Arabidopsis thaliana: one gene and its partners. The protein of the gene in region 2 interacts with the protein of the main gene of each other region in a pairwise test. Each region holds a gene or a part of one and is shown on either strand. Other genes may lie near its edges. The genes, in order: AT3G13410, SERK5, ABCG13 and ARD4.

Region 1 (4,786 bases), on a different chromosome or scaffold from region 2:
ACTAAGCTACATGTCATGGTGACATGATTTTTTATAAATGTTTGTGTAAGAAAAAAAAAGATAAACATTGTTCATAAATGATGCTTTTGAAACTTCTTCGTAATTAGACAAATACAGTCATGTATTTGTTATAGTATAAACTTTGAAAAAAACAGGGATACGAATAGTGTTATGTTAGAATAAATGTAGGAGTATGTATAGTGGGGAAAAGATGAATAGAACCATCGTTTTCGGTCATTTTGATTCTTTATACGCTTCTTTATGGAGAGAGAGAGGTCAATCAAAGAATCTGAAAGATTGATCTTATGACTTTGTCAATAGGTCCATGCAGGGACCATAAGGACCCCAACATATGAAGATGTTTTGCTAAGTATTGAATCATGGAACAAATCAACGAAATAGTCAAAACAAAAGGTCTATCTAGATAAATTATAAACTGCTAATTGCTCAATCGATATTACTTAATAATGACTAAACATGCCGAGGCAAACATTAAATTTGGATTAGAATTGCATGTTGCATGACAAAACTTATATATGTATTCTTACTATTTTCTTAATTGTTCACAAAACTATCATCTATATCTATCTTTCTATCTATCTATACAAGTGATGGTACACACACATGTCCTACCACTCTGACTCTACCGACATTATTGTCCTGAGTTTTTTTCTTCCAGAAAATCTATGTCCGAATCCCCAAATTGATATGAATACGATACTATGAGCACGATAACTCCGGAATATAATCTAAGAAAAAGAAACAAAAAAAATTCTGAAAAAGAATGTAATCCGTTCTCCAGTGTATGTATCTCTGGTTTTTTACTCGTTCTCCATTATTAATTTATGACGTTTAAGAAAGACTCACAAACAAGATGAATAAATGATACAAGGGGATTTTATGGCATATGCAGATTTTGTTTTGAAGTAATAATGTAACAAATCGACATTGAAGTACCTTCCACAATGCGCACTATGCACAAGAAAAGACTCGTCAAAAGCAAAGCAAAAGGTGGGGATGGCTCTTAAGGTCAACAGCTTAAGAATCTTGAGGAGTCTCGAATCTAGTCGGTGTATCGATACCCGCCATACAGCAAAGTCCACTGATCAAGATGAGAAGAAAAACGATTCCCTGCAAAAAGAAAAAGAAAAGGACGAGACATAATCAAAGGCTTTTACGAAATTTTAACACATTGAATTAAATTATCTTCCAGCTAGATATGACCAAGATGCTCATTAAACTTGTCCATTCTATGATGTTTATGAATCTTTCTTGAGAACGATGAATACCAAAAAAACACGAGTAAAAAGAGTAATTACCACTAGTATGCCCTCCAAAAGTGATGACTTAAATTTGCAGAGTTCATCACAGCCAGTAGCAATTTCAGGAGTACTGTTTCCTTTAGCAGTTTCAGCTAGAAACCTTTGGAGAGTTTTGTAAGATGTGTACCAATAAGGATCAGAAACATAAAGAGCTGTATATTTACTGCCGGATTGTTCTACAGAACTAACAAGTTCCAAGAAGCTTTCACCTGCAGAATAGGTCAAAGAATTGCTTAATTTCCTAGTTCTCAAATGATATCTAATTGTTAGTATTATTTTGTAATGATCTTTCCACTTACGCTCTGAATGTGACTGTCCAGCTTGACTATTCGATTCAGAACCCTCGGAACAGAGCACAACCAAGTCAGTTTCTCCTTCTTTCCTTGTTTCTCTTCTAGCAAGCAAATGATCCTGTCAATTATTAATGAGTATTAGAAAGTGAAGTTAAGGGGGTGATAACACTGGGAAGGCATGGGATTAGGGAAAATAAAAACTTAAGAGCAATGAGTATTACTTTGAAAGACTGCAAGTCTGAAAGTTTCTGAATTGTTCCATCCTCAACAAAGCACGAATCTGAGAACACGATATTGCTGACTCCTACATTGTTGGGACAAGCTTCTTTAAGCCCTGAAAGTAACAAATTCTCCATCCTTTCTTCCTCTGGAGCAGCAATATATGGGAATGCCAATGAGAAGTTGGAAGCTGTAAATAGATTCTGTTGAAACAAAGACTTGGATGTTAGAGTATTGTAAACTTTATATCAAACAACTATGTCAGAGATCTGTGTTACGGATGCAATTTCGAAATTTCTTGTTGAAGAAAAGAAAATTTGCACTTACATTCAATGTGTTAACAAGGGCAGGATCTGAGTTCCTTTTTGAAGAAACATCAGAAGACAGTAACTGCAGGCGGAAGAGAACGTGAATATTAGAATTCTCAGCATAACACAGAAGATACAGAGCAAAGACGATTAATTTCCCGCAATATTAAAACATCAGTTTCTTTACAATATCACAACAAGAAACCAAAGATCCACAAGGTCATTTATGCTAATGTTAAAACAACAATACTACATCATTCAATTACCTCTCTGCCTATGAACACAAGTGCAACATCAACAGGTTGCTCAAGCTTCTTCTCTGAGCACTAAACAAAGGAGACAGTAATGACAATAAGAAAAATCATTTGACATCCAGTGAGTTGTAGAATTGAAATCATAAGATCATGAAGAAGAAACCATACCAGAAAGTTTGACCAACCTCCTTGAGTGAAAACAGAACCAACTAGATCCTTTGCAGACATGACCTGATAATTTACAGCCTCATCCAATTCACCATTAGCAGACCTGATTTTCAGAATCACATAAACCAATCAACCCAGTAATCTAAGCTAACTCACATCAGATATCACAAGTCCCAGGCTTTTTACACATTTCCATCAATCAAATTGAGAATTATAGAGAAAACAAGATGCATAACTGGAGATGCGGAGACCAGAGGAAAGCAGGAACTGTGTTCGGAGAAGCCAATCCGATTTCAAAGAGAGAGGCCACAGATAGAAACACCAATAGCGCCACCGCACCAATTTGAATCTTCTTCATCTTCGTCGTCGAAACAATTCTACCGGAGACAAAAGGAAAAAAAATCAATCGAACAATTCCTCACGCCTAACGAAACAATCAGCAAATTCAAAGATAATCACAAACCTAGAGAGATCGAGATCGCTTCCAGAAGTCGATGTATCAGTAGATTTTTATCGAACTTTCAAATCCAGAGAAAGAAGAGATTCATATCTCCGATCTTCAAATCTGGGCGACACATATGAGTAGTCGACATGTAAGGAATTAACGGCGTCGTTTTTGAAACGAAAATCGCTAACCGAGATAACCGGTTTCGGTTATGTTCAGATATTAACCGGTCTGAAGTTTTGGGCTTGATTAGGCTTTTAAAGATTTTCCAATACGGCCCAAAATTTCGTGACTCCGTTAAGCGTCCGTCACTCTGGACAAGAAACGGAAACCTCCTTAAATCTTATAATAACTTCGTCACGATTGAACGGAATATTTCGTTTCCTCATTTTTTTATTTTGTTGCCTCTTCTGCAACGCGATCCCGCCAAAGACACTCTTTACTTTCTCCCTCACGAAAATTCTCAAATCGTCGTTCTCTCTTGATTCACCGATTTCGTTCGCCGGAAAATTGCAATTTAGCATCAGAATCGTCGAGCCATTTTGTATTATGAAAGTCCATTGAAGTAACAAGTAACGAGAGCTGCGAGGTTGAGATTTTACGATGCTTTGTGTTTCGTTACGAAATCGAATACATAATTGGCTTCGCGACTACGTTAGGCTCCAATCTGTCGTTTTGATTCTTATCTATGCTCAGGTAAATCCGTAATCGCTTTGTAGTTGTTTCATTTCCTCCGATTTCACGTTTTTTCTCGTGAATTGTTCGTATCTGTTTGGGATTAGGGTTCTACGATTTCTCTGTCGATATTTGTTTGTTATTCTTTTAATTGTGGTTAGAAGTGCAAGAAACTCATATTGATGAATCATTTGTTTCAGATAGGGTGCGCGTTGATCGGTTCACTAGGGGCATTGTACAATGGAGTCGTGCTGATAAATTTGGCGATTGCGTTATTTGGGTTAGTAGCAATCGAGAGTAATAGCCAAAGTCTTGGCAGAACCTATGCGGTTCTTCTTTTCTGCGCCATTCTTCTTGATGTCTCATGGTTCATTCTCTTCTCCAAAGAGATTTGGTATGTCACTATCCTTGGAACAGCCGTGCTTGTGATCATGATCAAATATTTGGTTTAAGAGTTTGCTCTGTCTTGTTTAATTTTCATTGCATCACATATTGTAAACTGTCCTGAATTTCTCTTGATTGGCTCATCATCTTTTTGAACTGATTGATCTTTAAACCTTTTTTTTTGCAAATCTTTGCTATGTCGTGTTTAGATTCTGTTGAGCCAGTATTCATCTGCTGCCTATAACTGACAAAAGATTTAATTGTTAATGCAGGAACATTTCATCTGATATGTATCAAGTCTTTTACATCTTCTCTGTGAAACTCACCCTGGCTATGGAAATTGCTGGGTTCGTTGTGAGGCTATCGTCCTCTCTGTTATGGTTTCAGATCTATAGGCTGGGAGCTTCTATTATAGACTCTCCATTTCCCCGTCAATCAGATTCAGATTTACGGAATAGCTTCTTAGAACCTCCTCTTTTAGCTAGGCAACGTTCACGTGATCCAGAATTACGAAATAGCTTCTTACAGGCTCCTGCTATAGCTAAGCAACGTTCACGTTCTGACGAAATCTTGGAAGATTCTATTGACGAACCTGCCTCCTACACTCCTCTGTTAGATGGCGGCCTAAGCAATATCACTTTGCCCAATGCAACACAGGTCTTTTTATTTCTACCTATTCTTCTCTTAAGTTGTTTGTGTACTCATTGTAGTTGAGGTT
Region 2 (6,769 bases):
AATATGTGTTATAAATTAAATACAAAAATAAGAACTAAATAATTGTTGATAATTTGTTATATGTCTACGTTTTATAAATTATCATGTTTGAGTAATCTTTAAATTTCAAGATAATTTTAAGTAAAATAACAGAAATTAATTTATGCGAAAATATTAATACAATCAATGGTTTAAACAGCTATAACCAAACAAAACTCCAAATACATAACTAAATTATTATTCTCATTACTAGCTTTTAACTAGCCAGACAACTATATGCTTTGTAGTTTGTTCAAGATAAAAATACATCAAATCTATATGAAGTTTGTATGTGAGCACATTGTATTTCTTAGGCAAATATGGGTTCGATCAAGATTTATTTTTGGGAGTACCAAAAGCAAGCATGACGCCATTATGAACATAAATTATAGAATTCTACAAAAAGCCGCCTAACTTTAAATGGATATGATAGATTCTTTATGGTATAACATACTTGCCATTACATTTTATCCTCATTCTCTTCCATAAGCAAAAGCTCCTATCATGATGATTCCTACAATGTATTGGTGGTGTGGGTAGTCAAGATCATCATTTTTAAATTAGGGGTTATAAAGCAACATTACTATTTATGTTTATATGAATTTCTATATTCTACAAAGATGCATACAAAGATTTAAGAATAGTTTTTATTGCTTAATGGAAGTGGAGAGAAAGTATAGTAGATATGATTAGTATTATAGAGTAGTGATATTCAAAGGTGAATGTGGGGTTTTGCTTCTTACAACTTCACTACCTATATATATACTTGTTGAAGAACCCACAAGAAATGACCCTTTCTAAAAGGTTATCTTGGCCCCGAGGGGTAATCGTTTTCGATAAGGGAATTGGAATAGGGGATGAGCCAGTCAGTGCCAGCATGAGGATAGGCTTGATAGTTAAAATCATGTATTGGCATCTCCTCCTTTTGCCATTCTTCCCATCTCTCAGCTAAACCATCTCCTTCCAGCATTCTCACTACTTCTGACATCTTTGGACGTTCCATTGCAGAACTTTGAGTGCAGAGCAGAGCCATTTGTATCAGCTGCTCCACTTCTGTTTCCACGTACTTTCCTTCGAGTTCTGCATCCACAAGGCTTTCCAACTTCTTCTCTTTCAAAACCTCTTTCACCTAATCACACCCAGAAAAGAAACACTCCTCTTTATTGCAAAATAACAGTTTTGAACTCAAAAATATGATCGGGAACTATTAAAAACATACCCAGTCGAGTAACATGATATCATCATCATTTGCAAGCCGAGCAAGATCGAAAGCCTTTTGTCCAGTGATGAGCTCGAGAAGCATGACCCCGTACCCAAAAACATCAGTCTTCTCAGAAGATTTTCCTGTCGAGAGGTACTCGGGCGCTATATGGCCAATCGTACCCCGTACAGCAGTTGTCACATGGGAGTCGTTATAATTCATTAATTTTGCTAGCCCAAAATCTCCAACAACAGCTTCAAACTCTTCATCTAACAGTATATTTGCAGCTTTCACATCCAGGTGAATGATCTTTTGGTCGCAATGATCGTGTAAATATGCGAGCCCCCTTGCTGATCCCAGAGCAATATGCTTTCTTTTTGGCCAGTCAAGGGCTGGATTGCCTTCAGGACGCTCTATAATAGAAAATCAAAGATAAGATACTTACCAACTGACCAATCACAAACCAGTCAAAACAAAACAAAAATATATGACAAATAACCTTTAGGACAAAGAATGTGGTACCTCTTAAACAAGAAGCAACACTTCCATTAGCCATGTAGGGATAAACAAGTAATCTTTCAGTTGGAGTCATGCAAAAGCCACGAAGCCGAAGCAAGTTCCTATGAACGGCCATACTGATCATCTCAACTTCGGTTTGAAACTGCAGTTCCCCACCCTTGGTACGTTCTTCATTTAGCCGTTTCACAGCCACTAGAGTGTCATCAGCTAAACGTCCTTTATACAATATACCAAAACGTCCTTTGCCCAATACATTTCTTTTGCTAAATTTCTCTGTAGCAACTAGCAGTTCACGCAAGGAGAACCTTTTAAATTGTCCTAAATAAACCTCTGGGTCTTCTTCAGCTGCAAAATTTGGTTCACCAAAACGAGATTAAAATCAGCCGAAGAAGCTTCAATGGGAAAATAAATGAAGAGAGTTGACTAACCAGGTACATCAAGAAAGTGACCCTGCAGTTTTCTTCTCAGCCACCAAGCAAGCGCAAATAGAAGTGCTGCACCCGCAGCAACTCCCACTACTATTGCTGCAGACGTTCCTGAGATAAACACAAAGCTTCTTAGCACAGAAATTATTCACACTTGTGTGATATATTGAAAAGTTTTCAAGGGAAAAATTACTGATGCATCAACCAAGTGGAATGTTTGACCAAAAGTGAAAGAGCTAATACATTTTTCAGATCAAAGACCTTCAAAAGTGTCAAATATATCTTCATGTCCCATGCTACCCACATAATTTCCGTAAACACTTTCTTTTCTTACAGTGTCAATTAACCCTTGTTACTTTACCAAACTAGAGAGTTCATCATTGTTCTGCTTCAGCAGACTGGCGAGTTCAACTGAATGTCTCACTTGTCTTATTCAACACCAACCAATGGAAAATGATATCAAAATGTTGCCTTTTTTTTTAATAAGCAGTTTATCAATCTTAGCAGAGACATGACAAACCTTAATGTGAAAATGCCATACTTTACAAGCACCCAACCATTAAATAAAAAAATGTGGAACGAAACTCGACAAGATATACATCAAATAAAATGAAAACCTGAAGGTGATGGTGAAGGAGATGCAGGTCGCGGCCTTAATTTATTATTGGCAAAACTGCAGATAACTTTCAGGCAATAAGTAATTTATTCTGACCACTCCATCACGAATGAAACTAAGAATAAGAAGGAAAACCTCATAGAAGTGAACTGCGAAAAGGAACCATTAACAGGAATATCTCCACTGAGCCGATTGTTTGAGATATCACTGCATTTCAGGATGATAACATTTTTGTCATAACTCAAGATTGCACCATATATAATTCAGGAGAATAAAAGTTATACTCACAGAACATCCAGCGGCAGAGCAGTCAAAGACCTTGGAATTTCTCCAGATAAGCTGTTGTTATAAAGACGCCTAACCAAATACATTACAGCAGGATCCCATGTCAACAACATTAACCACTAAAGAGTTCAAATGACAAACAACACGTTTGATCTATAAAAATAATGTTATCCAACTGCATAGAACTTGTAGGGCAATGACTGAATTTGTTTAAAGAATTTGTACACTTAGCCTCTAACTACTTCTGAAACATTCACTCTACACATGTACACTGAAGTTTTTGGTTAGAAGATTCGACGGTCTCTCTTTCGATAGGACCCGGTCTTGGATTCTATCGAAACCTAAGGAAGGTTATCATCAAATGTCTCCTTACAGAAACGAACTAATGACATACAACTAAATTCATTAACTCAATAGCTTCAAGCCTTCCCCTAAGGATCACAATTTGACAGAGGACTGTGCTCACAAGGCCAAGGAGTGTGAATTCTTTATAGGTGATGTAATATATTCCAAGGGTAATATTTTACTAAAGAATTCAGAATTCTTTTACTAGATGAAATAATTTACCAGAAAACACTGCTACCCTAAACAACCCTCTCCCCGGAAATAAGTACATTAGATTGTGACACGGTCTTGAATGTTAGACGCAATAGTTTTATAGCAAAGAAAAATACAACCAAACTTCGAAACTGTAAACAATAAAGCTGCGTATTGAAGGGGTTAATAGAAGAAGGAGAGAGTACATACAAGAAGCGGAGTTTTCCTAGTTTGCCAAGAGAGGAAGGGATGGGACCGCTTATGTTGTTTGCAAAAAGGTCCAAGCTTACTAGTTCCATCAAGTCGCCAAGCTCCTCAGGTATCTCCCCAGTAATATTATTGTTAAAAAGTTCCCTGTCATTAAGATTTGCTTAATTATATTTCTGATTAGAGAGAATTCGTCAATAGGAAATATCTTAAACTAGCAAAAATCCATGTTACAGAAAACATTATGCAATATGTAACAAACAAGATACATAATTAGCAATCAGAAAATAAGATGAAGCATACAAGTACTGCAAATTTGGAAGCTGAGCAAGCTGTGGCACCAGTTCTCCAGATAGATTAGCACTCCCCAGGTCACTGAGCAGTAAAAGGCTTGAATCATTCAGTTATAAAACCAGCAGAGAGAGAGTGAAAGAAACTTACAGACGAGTAACACTGTTTTCAGTATTGCAAGTAACATGAAACCATGAACATGGAGTAACGTGAGTGGCATTCCAGCTTTGGAGTATATTGTTTGTATGGTCACCTGATGATAAACTGCTTCTTAGAGCAATGAGAGCATCAACTGTAAAAAAAACAAAGTTGTTGCCTTTACATCAACAAGGGATCAAGGGAATAAAGTTGTTGCCTTTACAAAATTGCAAACAAAAAAAAGTCTCTCTTTTGAAACCCGAATGAGAAAATTCAAATGAAGAAGAAAGAAACCTTGTGTTTTTCCGGTGACTCTGGAAACAAAATCGAGAAATAGAATCAGCCAAATAAAGCCACGGGATGATCCATGTTCCATTTTCCACTTCTAAGACTAAAAGCAAAGTCATGAGAATTGAGAACTAGCAAGGTTTTTAAACCCAGTCAATGAATCGAAATCACCATTGACTAAGAGAAGCAATACACACGTTATCGAGCTTTGACCAATTTTGGAATTTGGAACTTTGGGTTTCTCAAACATGGAGAATGCTCTGCTACTTGCAAAAAAACGAAAGTGATGCTGATAATATCCGGATCCAGAATTGGGTAAATGGGCCGAGGCTGGGCCATTAGATACTTATCTCAACTTTTAAAGTTCTATTTTTCTAAAAGTGAGGTAAGTGATTTATTGTGACTGTAAGACTAATTTATTTTACTAGATAATAATTAATGTTTTTTTCAGATTCGAAATTGTGAATTTATATTTTACTAGATGTTATTGTAGTAGAAAAAATACATTTTTATTTTATTCTTGTTAAATATTTATTTTAGTTAGATAATTGTTGGTGTTGTTGTGTAGTACACAATTTTATTTAATCTTTCATAATACAGTGTTGGATAAAAAAAAATCTGTTTTTAAGTTTGTTTAAGATTTTTTTTTAAAATAGTTATAGTTATGTGGTAGACAATATTATTATATTTTTAATATACTAATAATAATGTAAGTTGTTAAAATATTTTGTATTTGATTATTTTGCATATAAAATTATAAATATGTGGATTACGTTGATTATTCATTTGCAAATAATTGTTACAATTGAATTTAATGTCTTAATGAATTTGCAAACATATGGGCAAATGCTAAAGTTTTATAATCAAATTTATAAACGTTTTAGGATATCAAACCTCATTTAAATAATTTTATTTGAAGAACGAGGGGGTTGCCTAACCCGATACTTGTGAGTTTTGACCCGATGATCAAATAAAATCTTAGTCATTGGTTTTTGGCCAGTTTTTAAATGGGAAAAATGTTGTTTAATCCCCCAACTTTCAAAAAATGGCCAATCAATACGTCAACTTCGTAGGAGGCCATTTAAAACATCAACTTACAGTTGACTAACATTTAAAACATGAACTTTGCGTTGACTAGGCCTAATAAAACACGACGTTAAATCAATTAACAGATCCATTAGACGAGGTTAAGAACCGTTATCATCTCTCTGTTTGTGAAGAAACGACGACGTTTTAGGCGTAATTGATAACCCAATTAGGGATTTGTCGAGAAGAAATCCTCAAATCGAATTCATCCCCAAATCAAAAACAAACCCTAATTTATCTCCAACGATCTTGAAAGTGTGTTCGTGGATGCCATTAGTTAGAATTCCCAGATTTGCAACTCATTTCTTCAGCTTTTGATGGAGAATTTAGAGAAGAAGAAGAGAATTAGGGAATTAGGGATTTGAAGTATTTGATTTGGGGATTTTCGACAAACAATCGGGTTATCTATTAAGCTTTAAAACGTCGTCGTTTCTTCACTAACAGAGAGATGATAACAGTTCTTAACGTCGTCTAATGGATCTGTTAATCGATTTAACGTCGGTCTTATTAGGCCTAGTCAACGCAAAGTTCGTGTTTTAAATGTTAGTCAATTGTAAGTTGATGTTTTAAATGGCCTCCTACAAAATTGACGTATTGATTGGCCATTTTTGGAAAGTTGGGGGATTAAACGACATTTTTCCCGTTTTTATATCATGACCATCTGTTTTAAATGGGTCAATTTTGAAAGTTATTTTACCCACAATTTGATTAAATCGAGGTCGTTCTTTTGTCTCTGATGTTCAAGTCGCCACTGTTGGTTTTTTATTTTTATCTAGCAAATATAGATGGTGTTCTTGTTTGATTTGTTCTTATATAGGCAAAAAAGTTCAAAGTTTTGTGCTAACTATGAATCTGAAATAAGTCATCATGGACAATTATAAAGAGGACAAATCAAATCATTATTTTATCTCTAACCGAATTATAAAATATAACAAATAGAGCAAGACCATTAAATCAATCTTAAAACTACCTTTTCTGATAAAATCATTGACGATATCTTACAACAAAAATAAAAATCTGATTCAACGTAATAAAAAACAATAAAGATATATTTATCAAAAAACGTAATCAAACCGTTTTATTAAATATTGCCTAAAACTAACAAATCTATATTTATCAAAAATTCAGAAAATTAAAAAGGTATCAAATCACTATTTG
Region 3 (6,913 bases), on a different chromosome or scaffold from region 2:
CAACAAATGAGTTCTGTACATGTCTACTCTAAAATAATCAGACTGGTTTTTTCTGATTTTACAACTGGATTAGCCATATTTGTTTAAAGTTATTGATTGTTTGTGTATTTTTTTTCCTTACTATGTAATATTTCTGGGAGCTTATATTTGGGTTCCCAAAGTTGAAAATTTACCATTTTTGCTTGGTTTTACACTTTTAAGGTTTTAAGTATCTCGTTGTTTGTTCTCTATCTGTTCAACAAACGCCTTTGGGAGGTTACTTTTGTTAGTTTTGATTCTATTCCCTATCAACTATATGCTAAAAGAGGAGATTTCATGGCACTTAGTGATAAAAGTCAAATATGCCTGGTCTGTTCTGTTCTTGTGCTGCACAGATTATAGATTTGCGTCACTGGTGCTATCAAGCAAGGACCAGTGTTCTACTGCCAGCCAGGTAACAAATCTCCATACCATCTTCTGTTTATTTGATTTCCATAACACAGTTTCTTCTGAAGCTATGTTAGCAAACGAAGTGCCTTATTTGATATATTTACGGTGGTTCGTTGGTAGACTCTCTCTTAGGGGTTCATGCATGCATCACTTGTAATCTGATAATGTAGCCATGCTTATCTTTTTTCTCCAATATATGTATCTCTGATAGATACCATCCTCATGCTAAACAAATCTCATTAGTCAGAATGATAGTATCTCTCTTTTCTTTTTTTTTTCCTTACACAACGGGCTACAAACAGTTTATCAAGTTTGAAGAGAGTGACATCTGACATATTGAAATATATGGAAATTGCATCCTGCTGTATATGCTTCTAATGCAGTGGAGAGTTAAGTCCTTCCTGAGAAGAGAGAGCATGGTGAACAGGGTATCGCCTGGAAGGGAAAGGTGTCATTCTTCTGAAAGAAGGCCTTTTCTGGATATGGCTCAGAGTTCTCTTTGTGTATAACATGTGAATAACTGGGAAAACCTTTTCCCGGAACTTGAGGATGGCGAAGAAGGCAATCCTATACCCAATGAGAATCATCATCACAACTGCTAGATCCAACCACTTTGAACTTTCTGGATTTATGCCTAGAACAGTTTGAAGAATGAGTTCTCCTTTCATTTTTGGTACCAAGGGTAACGGAGAATCATACTCCACCCCAATCATCTCATTCTTGTATGCTCCCTGCAATTTATCAGGTATGCTCATTTAAGATAGCTACTTGACGATATAGTCTGCATCTTAAAGTTGAGAAAACCTGGTTACCTGTAGTGCCCATGCACCATAGTTTATGTAGGACACCGGGTATCGCCAGAACACCATTGGTAAGTCGGGGAAGAATCGGAAAAACCCCGCACTTAACACCATAATTCCCTATGAGATGAAGGATAAAGCGGTTTTCAATTTAGAATAGTTTTTGGAGATATAAGAAAGCTTGTAGGTGAAAGAGCGACAGAGGCCACTCTTACAATGTAACCAGCTCCCAACATGACTCCCATCAAGAAGTTAGGGACTACTGAAGCTATCATCATCATGCAACTCTCCACAGTTGTAATCGCGCAGATAAGGTCGAGACAGTTGTAGAAGAAATGAGAACCTCCGGATTGGAACCTCACCATGTAGATAGTGATTGAGCTGGTGGAGAGGCACATAAGGATTATGAAAGGTAATGAGGAGAGTAAATTAGACACAGTGTATACTGCAACCCCATAGTGTCCATTGAGCCTTTCGCGAGAAAACACCTGTTTTCAGGAATAAAGATGCTAAAACATAAGATAAGTTTTTAGGTGAAGAAAGAGAATTTTTCTCTGTTTAGCTCTTTACCTTCATTTCTTCAATGAAGGATTGGAATCCTCCTATTGACATGAATGTCATAAAGCCTGCCATAAATCCGCCACAAGCTGCAGTACTCATAACATTTGTGTGGTTTCTCCCGACGTTGAAGAAGATTGACCCGACACAAATGGATAACACTATGTAGACTGCAATCCGCATCCAGTAGTACCCCAAGTCTCTACTCATGTTGATGAAAGATCGCTGAGTAAGTATTCTGAGTTGTTTCCACCAATTAGTTTGGCTCCCCTTTTTCCTTTCTGTGACAATCCCCACCTGTTGCACAAGGTTTATAACTGTGCTTATGAGACTCTCATTATGTGATACATTGTAGTTTTAAGGGAAGTAGTAACCGTAACTTACTATCGATGCTATTTCTTGAATTCTTGCTCTTGAAGCTGCTGCATAAAGTGAACACTTAAATTTTCTGACAAGTGTTGTTCTAATTTCTGCAGTTGGTATATCATCCAGAGGATCTAATGTGTTTGTAGTTTCATGTAGTTGGTGAAGAGAGAAAGATGAATCCTGCAGATGTAAAAGGTCGAGGTCAAAAGCTTGAGAGTATTGTAAGTTCATGAAAAAACAAGAAGGGCAGAGGAAAACAAACGTTGATTCTCCGAGATTCAACCAAAGCCGCTGTGACATTATCGAAATCGGAATTGACACAGCGAAGGAAGTGGTCTGATGGATTCCGTCTACTTGGACAAGGAAAACCTGCTTCACCAAAGAACTGCAATGTCGAAGCAACAACAACACAAATGAGCATAATGGTTATATACTCTTGCCAATGCTCTATCTTATTACCTTTGTTGCAGATTCTGCTTCGCCAAAGTAAACAGTTTCTCCTCCAGACAGAAGTAGCAGGTCATCAAAGAGGGCGAAAACCTCACCACTCGGCTGATGGATCGAAGAAACCACAGTTTTGCCACTGCTTGCTATGTTTCTAAGAATCTGAACCACGAAGAAAGCTGAAGCACTGTCCAGTCCACTAGTTGGTTCGTCTAGAAAGAGGAGACTTGGTTTTGTTAAGACCTCGAGGGCAATACTAAGCCGTTTCTTCTCTCCTCCGCTTATTCCACGCAAATGCCAGTTTCCAATGGTCCTGTCTGAACATTCTTCAAGACCCATGTCAGTGATTGTAGCTTCCACAATGTCACTGATCTCTTCTCTGGTAAGCTTTGAAGGGAGCCTGAGATGAGCCGAGTAAGATATGGATTCTCTCACTGTCAAAGTTCCTAGCAACACATCTTCTTGCGTCACATAAGCCTGAGAGTTTAGGACATTCATGAATAATAATAGTTTGATTGTGTAAAAGGGTAAAAACTAAAGAGAAAAGATAAATTTTCTTACGGCAGCACCAAAGTCAAGTCTTCTCTTCTTGCCATTGACAAGTACTTTGCCACTCATTACAACATTCCCTGCTAATCTTCCTGTACCATCACCAAATTTACCTTTTAATGTTAGATGTTAAATCTTTCATGTTTTTGAACAATCTTATAGCATTGATAGAACAATCTTATAACCCGGTTTTGGGTTTTTCGCTTTTACAAGAATATTAGCCACAGTAAAATTAAATTGGTTTCGATTAGTCATAAGCATAAAATAAAGATCTTCTTAATCCAATCAAATTTAGGTTTGGTCAAGAAAATAATAATCGATTTGGATTGTTTTTGGATTGAACGTAACATCCCTCAAAGAGTCCGACCAGTCACCAAACCGGGTTCAACTTGTGAAGAGATCGCAAGTCGGTATGAAGATACGATCGTGCAATCCTAAATATTTGTGTCAGAATATTGGTGATTGGTAGTTGGTTAACATTTAAAATATGATTTAATAAGAAATGTTACTGCAAAATTTCTGTACATAGTCTACGTTAGAGAAACGTAACTATCAATTTATTCAATACTAAATGTACGACGATGTAAATTTATTAATTAAGAACATGAAAATTGCAACTATTTTTTTTTTAATATTTATTTAGTACTCCGATAGTATATAGCTATACTTAAAAAATAAAATTGGTAGCTAGAATCCATAAATATAAAGTTAGAAATATCTATATATGTCTCATCGTGTACATGAAACTTAGATATAAATATAGCACTGTTTTTCAATAGTTATAAATATCTTGATACATAAATATGTTATATCATGCTCTCAAATTTCTTTTACATATATATATGTTACGTTTGGTCAAAGTTACAGAAGAAAAAAAAAAAAAATTACAGAAGAGTACAAAAACTTCAGTTAATATTTTCATTTCACCAAATTGTGATACTGATACAGTATGTACATAGTTTGTTGCTTTCAAATAGGAAAGTTATCAATTTTATTGTAGTAATGTATTTTTCCAATATACAAAAAACTAATCAAGTATCATATTAGTTAATTTTGATTACATACGAATTTACAGGTTAATAATAATTAAATATTTTATGTTGAATAGGACACACACCCACCCACGCACAGACATACACCTATATATATATATATATATATATATCTAACAAATAAATTCTAACTTATATTCTCAAATTTAACTACGAATGGCAGAAATCCTTATCAATTCCAAATAAAAATTACTAAAAGATTTGTGAATATTTTTTAATGTAAGAAAACAGAAATTTCTTATTTTCCAAAAGTGAAACACTTTTTACATAGTATATTGAGAAAGTTTCCTTGGACAATTTTTTAAAAGAAAGACATAACGTCATGTATATTGTTAATTATAGTTATATATATATATATATAGAGTACATAGAACGATTCACTAAATACTAGGTTCAAAGTGGGTAAGTCTCATCCTTTAATGTTGGTTTCAAAGCTAAATGTGGTTGGTTGTTAAATTCCTCTAAAAACTATATCTTTTAATTGTTGGTCGATGTTGCTTCAGCTTATTTGAGATTTATATAATAGAGGAAAACCATTTAACAATAAAAGAAATACATAATAAAAACGACGAGCTAATCTTGACATGTATGGGTGTGTGTGTCTGAGAGAGAGAGAAGGGACCTGCTAAAGCATCAAGAAGCGTAGATTTGCCTGAACCTGAAGGACCCATAATAGCTAAGATCCTATTTGGCTCACCACAACCATTCACTCCATTCAGTAATCTCTTAGTTGCTCCTTCACCGAAGTTTGGTATCACCACCGTAAGATCCTCCCACGCCACATACATCGCCCCCTCCGGCGTAGTCATGTATGCTTTTGTTAGATAGATCGAAAACTGAGCGAAGAGTTTTAAACTTGTTCTAGCTTAAGAGTTTTTTTTTTTGTTTCTTTGGGAGAGAAAAGTGTAATGTGTGTGAATGCTTGTGGCCTTATTTATAGTTATAAAAAGTTGTGCGGTGAATGTATTAAGAGAACTAGGGTCTTTGAAAAAAAAAATGTATAAATTAGGGTGGTCCAAATTGGTTTAAACTAATTTGAGTCAAACCGAAACTGTACCAAAGAAAGTGATTGGAAAAAACTAGATGTAATAAATTCGGTTACATATTTTTGATATATAAAATAAATCATGACTAAAAATAAATAAAACATATAGTTTAGTTAAAATAAAATAAAAAAAATTTAGAATCCGAAGAAAAATCGAACCAAACTAAATGATATTGGTTTCTATTTATTTTATGAAACCAAAACAAAATATCTACCCATGCAAAACAGAAAAGTGGATTAAGAATAGTGTAAAAGACAGAAAGGAAACTATTATATATGTACACTATCATGCATGCATAGACGAGGCATGTGACAGAAAAATTGACGTTTGATGTTATATTCATTTACTCGTTGGACCCGTTCGGTACTATATATGTCGAGAGCTACAGACATCCGCATGATAAGAAACTTATGGTTTCGTTACACGATTTAAGGAAACATAACACTTTAGGGTATATATCACGTAAATTGCAATAATTTTATTTTCTGGTAATTTTGTCCAAATTTTTTATAAAATTCCGATTTGGTTGGGTGTATCAACTAGTATAGCACTCCAAAACATTGTTTTTTTTCAAACGAATCACAGAGGAAATTCAAATCCATGAGGAGAGTCTATACTATTCAACTCAACTATATTTAGACGCCATTACTTTTGGAAAATTATTTGAATTATTTATATACATTGTGAACGTGATATATATAACTTAACATCGACATAAGGCCGTATATCAGAACGTTTAGATTAAAGTAATCTAGTTGTTGCATATTGAGTTTATGTAACTGGTAAGAAAGTAATCAAGAGAGTATATAAGGAATTTTAAGTATGTTGTGTAAACATATGATTGGATCAATTATTTTATCATAATGGCCGAAAATTAACCACGGAAAAGGTTATCATTAATATTTTAATTATTTTTATAAAGCAATTAATTTTGGTCGTATGTTAAATTTCTTATTGAGATATACTATTTAGTTTCTGCCTCTGGAAAGAAACCGTCCAATGTTCCTTGCTGCTTCAATGTGGTTCGTGTTGGTAATTTTTGAGGCAAAAGACGGATTCTCAACGTCATAAGATTTTTTTTATAGTGACTATTTTTAATCTCCCCCAAATTGTTTGCAGAAGTGTATTCGACACATCATGAGCTTGCTTGTTGCATTTTGCTATTTAACTTTTGTTTTCGAGTTTTTATTTATGGCCCCCTATCATCTATTTTTATTGTTTATCAAACCTATCGTTCTATTTATATTGTAAGTTTATATATTTTTTTTAAGATTATAATACCGAACCATGAATTTGAAGAGCTTGCAAATTTATTCTCTTTCGGATATGACGAATGGAAAACAAGTATGTTGTAAAAAAAAAAAAAAAAACAGATGGTGACGGATTTGTTTTAACCATGTGATGTTTTTAACCATGTTTCGTGCTAATCAAACACATACACAGTACCAAATACACTGTTTCAACGTTTATGTCTTCTTGTCTTCAATTGTATCAACAGAAATTAAAGCTATGTAGTTAGTGTGACTAAATTATTCATTTCTGCTAAGAAAGAAAATTCATTACTGCGATAACCTAATCATAGATTGTTAGATAAACTTATTAAATGACTTCTTCCATCTTTTCCATATCATAACTATAATCAATTTTTTGTTTAACCAAAAAAAAAACA
Region 4 (4,595 bases), on a different chromosome or scaffold from region 2:
TGGAAGATGCTACTTTTGTGTTCTTTTGTCTTCTATGAATATCAGAAAATCTAAAATTTAATTAATCATTATAAATTTAGTGACTATGCTCCAACATTTATAAGCTTCGTTTTCGCCCATGACACGTTGTAGTGAATGCATAGAGATACGTTTCGTGGTTTGTTTGTTTATTCTGAAGTCAGAATGATGGGATTTTTGGTGGAACCCTTTGAAAGATTTGTGTAGAGAACAAGAGTATCCTTTGAAAATTTGATTGATCCTTGATTCAATTGAATTGGGTTGGGGGAAAACCAGATCTAACCACACCAAATCAAACGGTTAAGCACGACACAAGCAGAATTATACATTATATATATATATACAATTAATATATTGATAATGCATAATTTTAAGAAGATTTTGTAAAGAAGAGGTCATTTCAAATATAAGAAAATTTATGCTTTAACTTTTGAAGTACACTAACACTATATAAGTAATAATACTTGAATTACAGTTTGGAAAGCTCAAATAATTTATTCGAAAATCGTAGGGTTTTTTTAGTTATAAATTTCACGTTCGCAGCTGACATTTGTTTTTTAATGATACTTATTAGATAAATACACACTATTTTTTTTATGTATAAAAGCATACATCGCAAAAGTATGTTACAAGAACAACTATCCAGAAGGAGCCGCTGTTTTTATTTTACTGCTTAAGACTAAAGAGTAAACAATACATACAAATTACACAACAAGCATATATTAATATTGTTAATGTGCTTTAACGGTTTCTCCAAACTTGTAGGTTAAGCCGTGGATATACTTTTTCCTAACAGGATGTTCTTCCTGTGGCCGGTTATATGGTGTCCAAACCGGTTCCCCCACGAACAGCCTCATTAGCTGCAAAACCAAACCACCATACATCACAAACCAACAATCAAATCTTTTAACATAAGATATTAAGATGTAATATTTCATTTGCGTATTCATATAAATTAGTAAATTAGTATAGAGACTGAGTTTGGCTTTTTGTACCTTGATGTAGTTGCTGGCGTCGAGTGTGAACCGGTGGTAGATTCCGGCAGGAAGGACAATGAGATCGCCAGGTTGCATCCAGATACGGATCCAACGATCATCCTTGTCCCTAACATCAAAGTAGCCACTTCCTGCTAGGCAGTACCGAATCTCTTCGTCCTTGTGAATGTGTTCTGTGAAAAAGTTCTTCAGCTTTTCTTCGTAGTTGCTGACTTTCTCGGGACACAGATCCAGCAAATCCTAAAATGAAGATTAACCAAAGTAATCATTCTGCTTGAGAAAATTAGTTTATAGCTCATAAGTTACAATGCTACACACCACACAAATAGCTTAATTATTTTTAACGTAAACCAAACGTTTTAATGTTCCCTTAATACTCAATTACAGAGAAGCCTTCTTCCTTAATAAGCTGGTTTCTAAAATGTTTGTAGTCATACTACCCCTTAATGGTTATGCAAGATTATAGTCCTACTGTCCTATGATACATGTTTTTTTTTTTCATGAGATTAGCGTGCAGAGATAACAAGTAAAGGAACTGAAACATCAATAGCCGCTTATGGTGAGCATGAGTTAAAAAAGGGTGATCAGAAAGACATAAGCCGTAGCAAATCCTGTACTCTAATACTCATAAGGCTTCTTTCTTCATAGGCTGGTTTTGTAAGGTTTGAGTACTACCTTCATTATGTAGTCCTACACTCCTACTGTGTCTAGTATATGTCACAATCGTTAATCTCATGAGATCAACATGCAACGATATGCAACAAGTTAAAAAACAGAGACATTCAATTGGCATTTATGATGAGCATGAGTGTTCCTAAGTTAAGAAAAAACAGTGATCAGGAAGAGATAATATGCGTACCATGTAATCGTAACCCCTGTCTTCTCTAATCTTGCTAAGTTCAGAATCATTCTCGTAGTTCTCAGGGTTCAACTTCCAGTACAACACTCCCAACTCTACAAAACACAACAACTATATTTGTGATATTTGCATAATTTATGATTCTGTTAAATCTCATCTTGGGTAAATTTGACCATTTCCTTAGTTTTAAGACGGTTTACGTTTAGTTTCCTCATGTAGAATCACTACTCAATACAATAAAGCATGAAAGATTGATGTTTTTCAAAAGTTGCAAAGTAAGAGTAATTTTTAAGGTAGAGAATTGAAAAGACCTGCCAAGTAATCCAACGAGACGAGTTCTTTCGGGTTACGATGATGAGGAAGTCTCTGGTCCTCATTGCTATCATCCATAAACCATGCCTGCATCAATCAACACTTAAGCCTCAGGGAAAGAAAAAAATCTCAAGAAAAAACTTTTGATTCAATTTTCAATTTCAGCTGCAAAACGGTAAAATCAAATCCCAATTCTCAGTTCTGCCAAAATCAAATCAAATCCCCAAAATAATTCCGAAAGAGCAACGATAATCACTATTGAACGAATCGAGATTCGAAATCAGAATCTAGAACCTATGAATCAGAACTCACCTCGAGAGCCATTAATGATCTTCGTTGTGTAAATGCTTTTTTGATTTCAGACTCATCAGAGTGATGAAGATCAGATAAATAAATGGCTATTTCCTCCGTCGATGATAGCCACGTGTACGATCACTTTAATTCGTATTATTTTCCTTTCTCCTAATTTTTATTAATTCTGGTTTCGAAATTCTAATAATAAAAAATCGTTATTTTTTCTTTTGCACGAAAAAAACAACCGTTTTCGAGCCACAATGATCATGAATGAATAAGACCAAAACATTGGCTCATTTGTATGATATTGTATTTTCTGAGGTTCATATATTTCCATCTGATTTGAACTAGAATGATCTATATTCAGATATATAATTTATATTTCAAACTTGAAATTAGTTTTAACTAGAAAAAAAAAATGTAATCCAAAATCGTACATAGGTATATATATTTTTTTTCCACAAATCGTACATAGGTAATGAGGTAATGTTTAACACTTTAACTTGGGCCGTGTAATACAAATTGGGCCGTTTAACACTTTAAATTAGTCTCGAATGTTATATAATGTTTTTTTTTTTTTTAAATTGGACTAGAGAAAAAGTAGTCTAGTATGAAGTACAAAGCCCATTCCTTGTACCCAGCAACAGCATATCAATTTATTTTTTTGCTAAGAGCATATCATATCATATCAATTTTTTTCTCTTCTATATTTTAATTTTTAATACTTCTTAGTCATAAATCTTTTGACCATTTATTATTAAATTTAATCTGAAACACAAAGTAACTTTCTTACAAAAATTCAAATCTCCAATTATTTTGTTTGAATTTAAATATTTTTTAAAATTCCAAAAAATCTCATATATATAGGATCTGACTTTGTTTAAATATAGAGAAATTTAACTAGACTATAATAAAAAGACTTCATAAAATTTATTACCCAAAATTAGAAAAAATCAGGTTTCAATACTGAAAATAGACTATGAATATATGGCCTTATGATTGTAGTTGTTATATTCCATGCACACATAAGTAATTTCTTTCTATTTGATTTGTTTTTTAAAAAAAAATATTTAGAAGTTTAAATTTAAAGGTCTTATATTTTTTAGAGATGGGACACAAGTTAAATTTATATTCTTTAGAAAATAGATTCTTTTCAACAGACGTTTAATCCAATATCTACATCTGGAAGATTTATCATTACACCAACCCCAATAATATAAGTAATTTAACATAAGTAATTTTTTTCTATTTGATTTTGTTTATGTGCTCTTTAAAATTAACCAAGATTTCAACGGCCATACTTCTTATAACTTTTAATAATATCTCTACTCACCTCATTCTCATGAACCCACCAAACAAAAAAAGTAAAGAAAAGAAAAACTAATAAAGAACAAAAAAAATGTCCTCTTCTTCATCAAGAAACGCCTTTGAAGATGGCAAATACAAATCAAATCTCTTAACCTTGGACTCATCATCTCGTTGCTGCAAAATAACACCGTCTTCTAGAGCTTCACCGTCTCCGCCAAAGCAGCTGTTGGTGGCTACGCCGGTGGAGGAAGGAGATTATCCGGTGGTGATGCTCCTCCATGGTTACCTTCTCTACAACTCCTTCTATTCTCAGCTTATGTTGCATGTCTCTTCTCATGGCTTCATCCTCATCGCTCCTCAGGTTCAATTTCAATTTCCAATCATTACATTAGTTCAGGAACTAATTAGCCACTGAAATTCTTGTTTAGTTTTAGATTCCTATGTGTATTAGTAATTTAGTATAGAAATTATTTTTTGGGGGGTCAAACTAGTGTATAGTTTTTGTTTAATTAGTAAAATGTTATGAGTTATTTTTATGGAAATGGTACTATCGGAATTGTTAAATCCAGTGTATAGTTTTTGTTTAGGGATTTAGTATTAGTGTAGAGTTTAGAAAAATGTAAATTCGCTACAATCTCGTTCCATTCCATTTTGTGCAAATATTGCATGTGACTGACTACTTGGTCCTTTGAGGTTTAGTGTGAATGTTCATGAATATGTAGGTCCATGTATTAAGATATTCTAGTTGAATCCAAAAAAATCATAATAAATACATATACATTGATTTGTTAGGACTTATAGGATTTAGG

Evidence for each region.
Region 1: the proteins of SERK5 (region 2) and AT3G13410 interact in a protein complementation assay, tested with the Arabidopsis thaliana proteins (one large-scale study listed by BioGRID).
Region 3: the proteins of SERK5 (region 2) and ABCG13 interact in a protein complementation assay, tested with the Arabidopsis thaliana proteins (one large-scale study listed by BioGRID).
Region 4: the proteins of SERK5 (region 2) and ARD4 interact in a two-hybrid assay, tested with the Arabidopsis thaliana proteins (one large-scale study listed by BioGRID).

Annotation. Positions count from the first base shown.
Region 1 is NC_003074.8:4,361,111-4,365,896, forward strand, and holds AT3G13410 (2-C-methyl-D-erythritol 4-phosphate cytidylyltransferase), read right to left. Parts: upstream 3,207-4,786; 5' UTR 3,028-3,206; intron 2,942-3,027; 5' UTR 2,923-2,941; coding exon 2,801-2,922; intron 2,668-2,800; coding exon 2,565-2,667; intron 2,469-2,564; coding exon 2,409-2,468; intron 2,225-2,408; coding exon 2,162-2,224; intron 2,038-2,161; coding exon 1,837-2,037; intron 1,734-1,836; coding exon 1,622-1,733; intron 1,532-1,621; coding exon 1,320-1,531; intron 1,132-1,319; coding exon 1,039-1,131; 3' UTR 525-1,038; downstream 1-524. Other genes in the region: AT3G13420 (uncharacterized protein), read left to right, coding at 3,613-3,705, 3,885-4,078, 4,341-4,725.
Region 2 is NC_003071.7:5,751,120-5,757,888, reverse strand, and holds SERK5 (somatic embryogenesis receptor-like kinase 5), read right to left. Parts: upstream 4,787-6,769; 5' UTR 4,614-4,786; coding exon 4,532-4,613; intron 4,392-4,531; coding exon 4,250-4,391; exon of another isoform or gene 4,184-4,249; coding exon 4,112-4,183; intron 3,956-4,111; coding exon 3,812-3,955; intron 3,137-3,811; coding exon 3,068-3,136; intron 2,987-3,067; coding exon 2,915-2,986; intron 2,837-2,914; coding exon 2,781-2,836; intron 2,275-2,780; coding exon 2,167-2,274; intron 2,084-2,166; coding exon 1,742-2,083; intron 1,633-1,741; coding exon 1,238-1,632; intron 1,148-1,237; coding exon 824-1,147; 3' UTR 536-823; downstream 1-535. UniProt on the Arabidopsis thaliana protein: Serine/threonine-kinase of unknown function.
Region 3 is NC_003070.9:19,076,329-19,083,241, forward strand, and holds ABCG13 (ABC-2 type transporter family protein), read right to left. Parts: upstream 5,124-6,913; 5' UTR 5,008-5,123; coding exon 4,821-5,007; intron 3,239-4,820; coding exon 3,159-3,238; intron 3,075-3,158; coding exon 2,613-3,074; intron 2,539-2,612; coding exon 2,416-2,538; intron 2,334-2,415; coding exon 2,172-2,333; intron 2,085-2,171; coding exon 1,800-2,084; intron 1,718-1,799; coding exon 1,445-1,717; intron 1,350-1,444; coding exon 1,242-1,349; intron 1,161-1,241; coding exon 804-1,160; 3' UTR 510-803; downstream 1-509.
Region 4 is NC_003076.8:17,626,615-17,631,209, forward strand, and holds ARD4 (RmlC-like cupins superfamily protein), read right to left. Parts: upstream 2,750-4,595; 5' UTR 2,509-2,749; coding exon 2,497-2,508; intron 2,272-2,496; coding exon 2,184-2,271; intron 1,968-2,183; coding exon 1,873-1,967; intron 1,254-1,872; coding exon 1,014-1,253; intron 879-1,013; coding exon 750-878; 3' UTR 518-749; downstream 1-517. Other genes in the region: CLH2 (chlorophyllase 2), read left to right, coding at 3,878-4,147. UniProt on the Arabidopsis thaliana protein: Catalyzes 2 different reactions between oxygen and the acireductone 1,2-dihydroxy-3-keto-5-methylthiopentene (DHK-MTPene) depending upon the metal bound in the active site.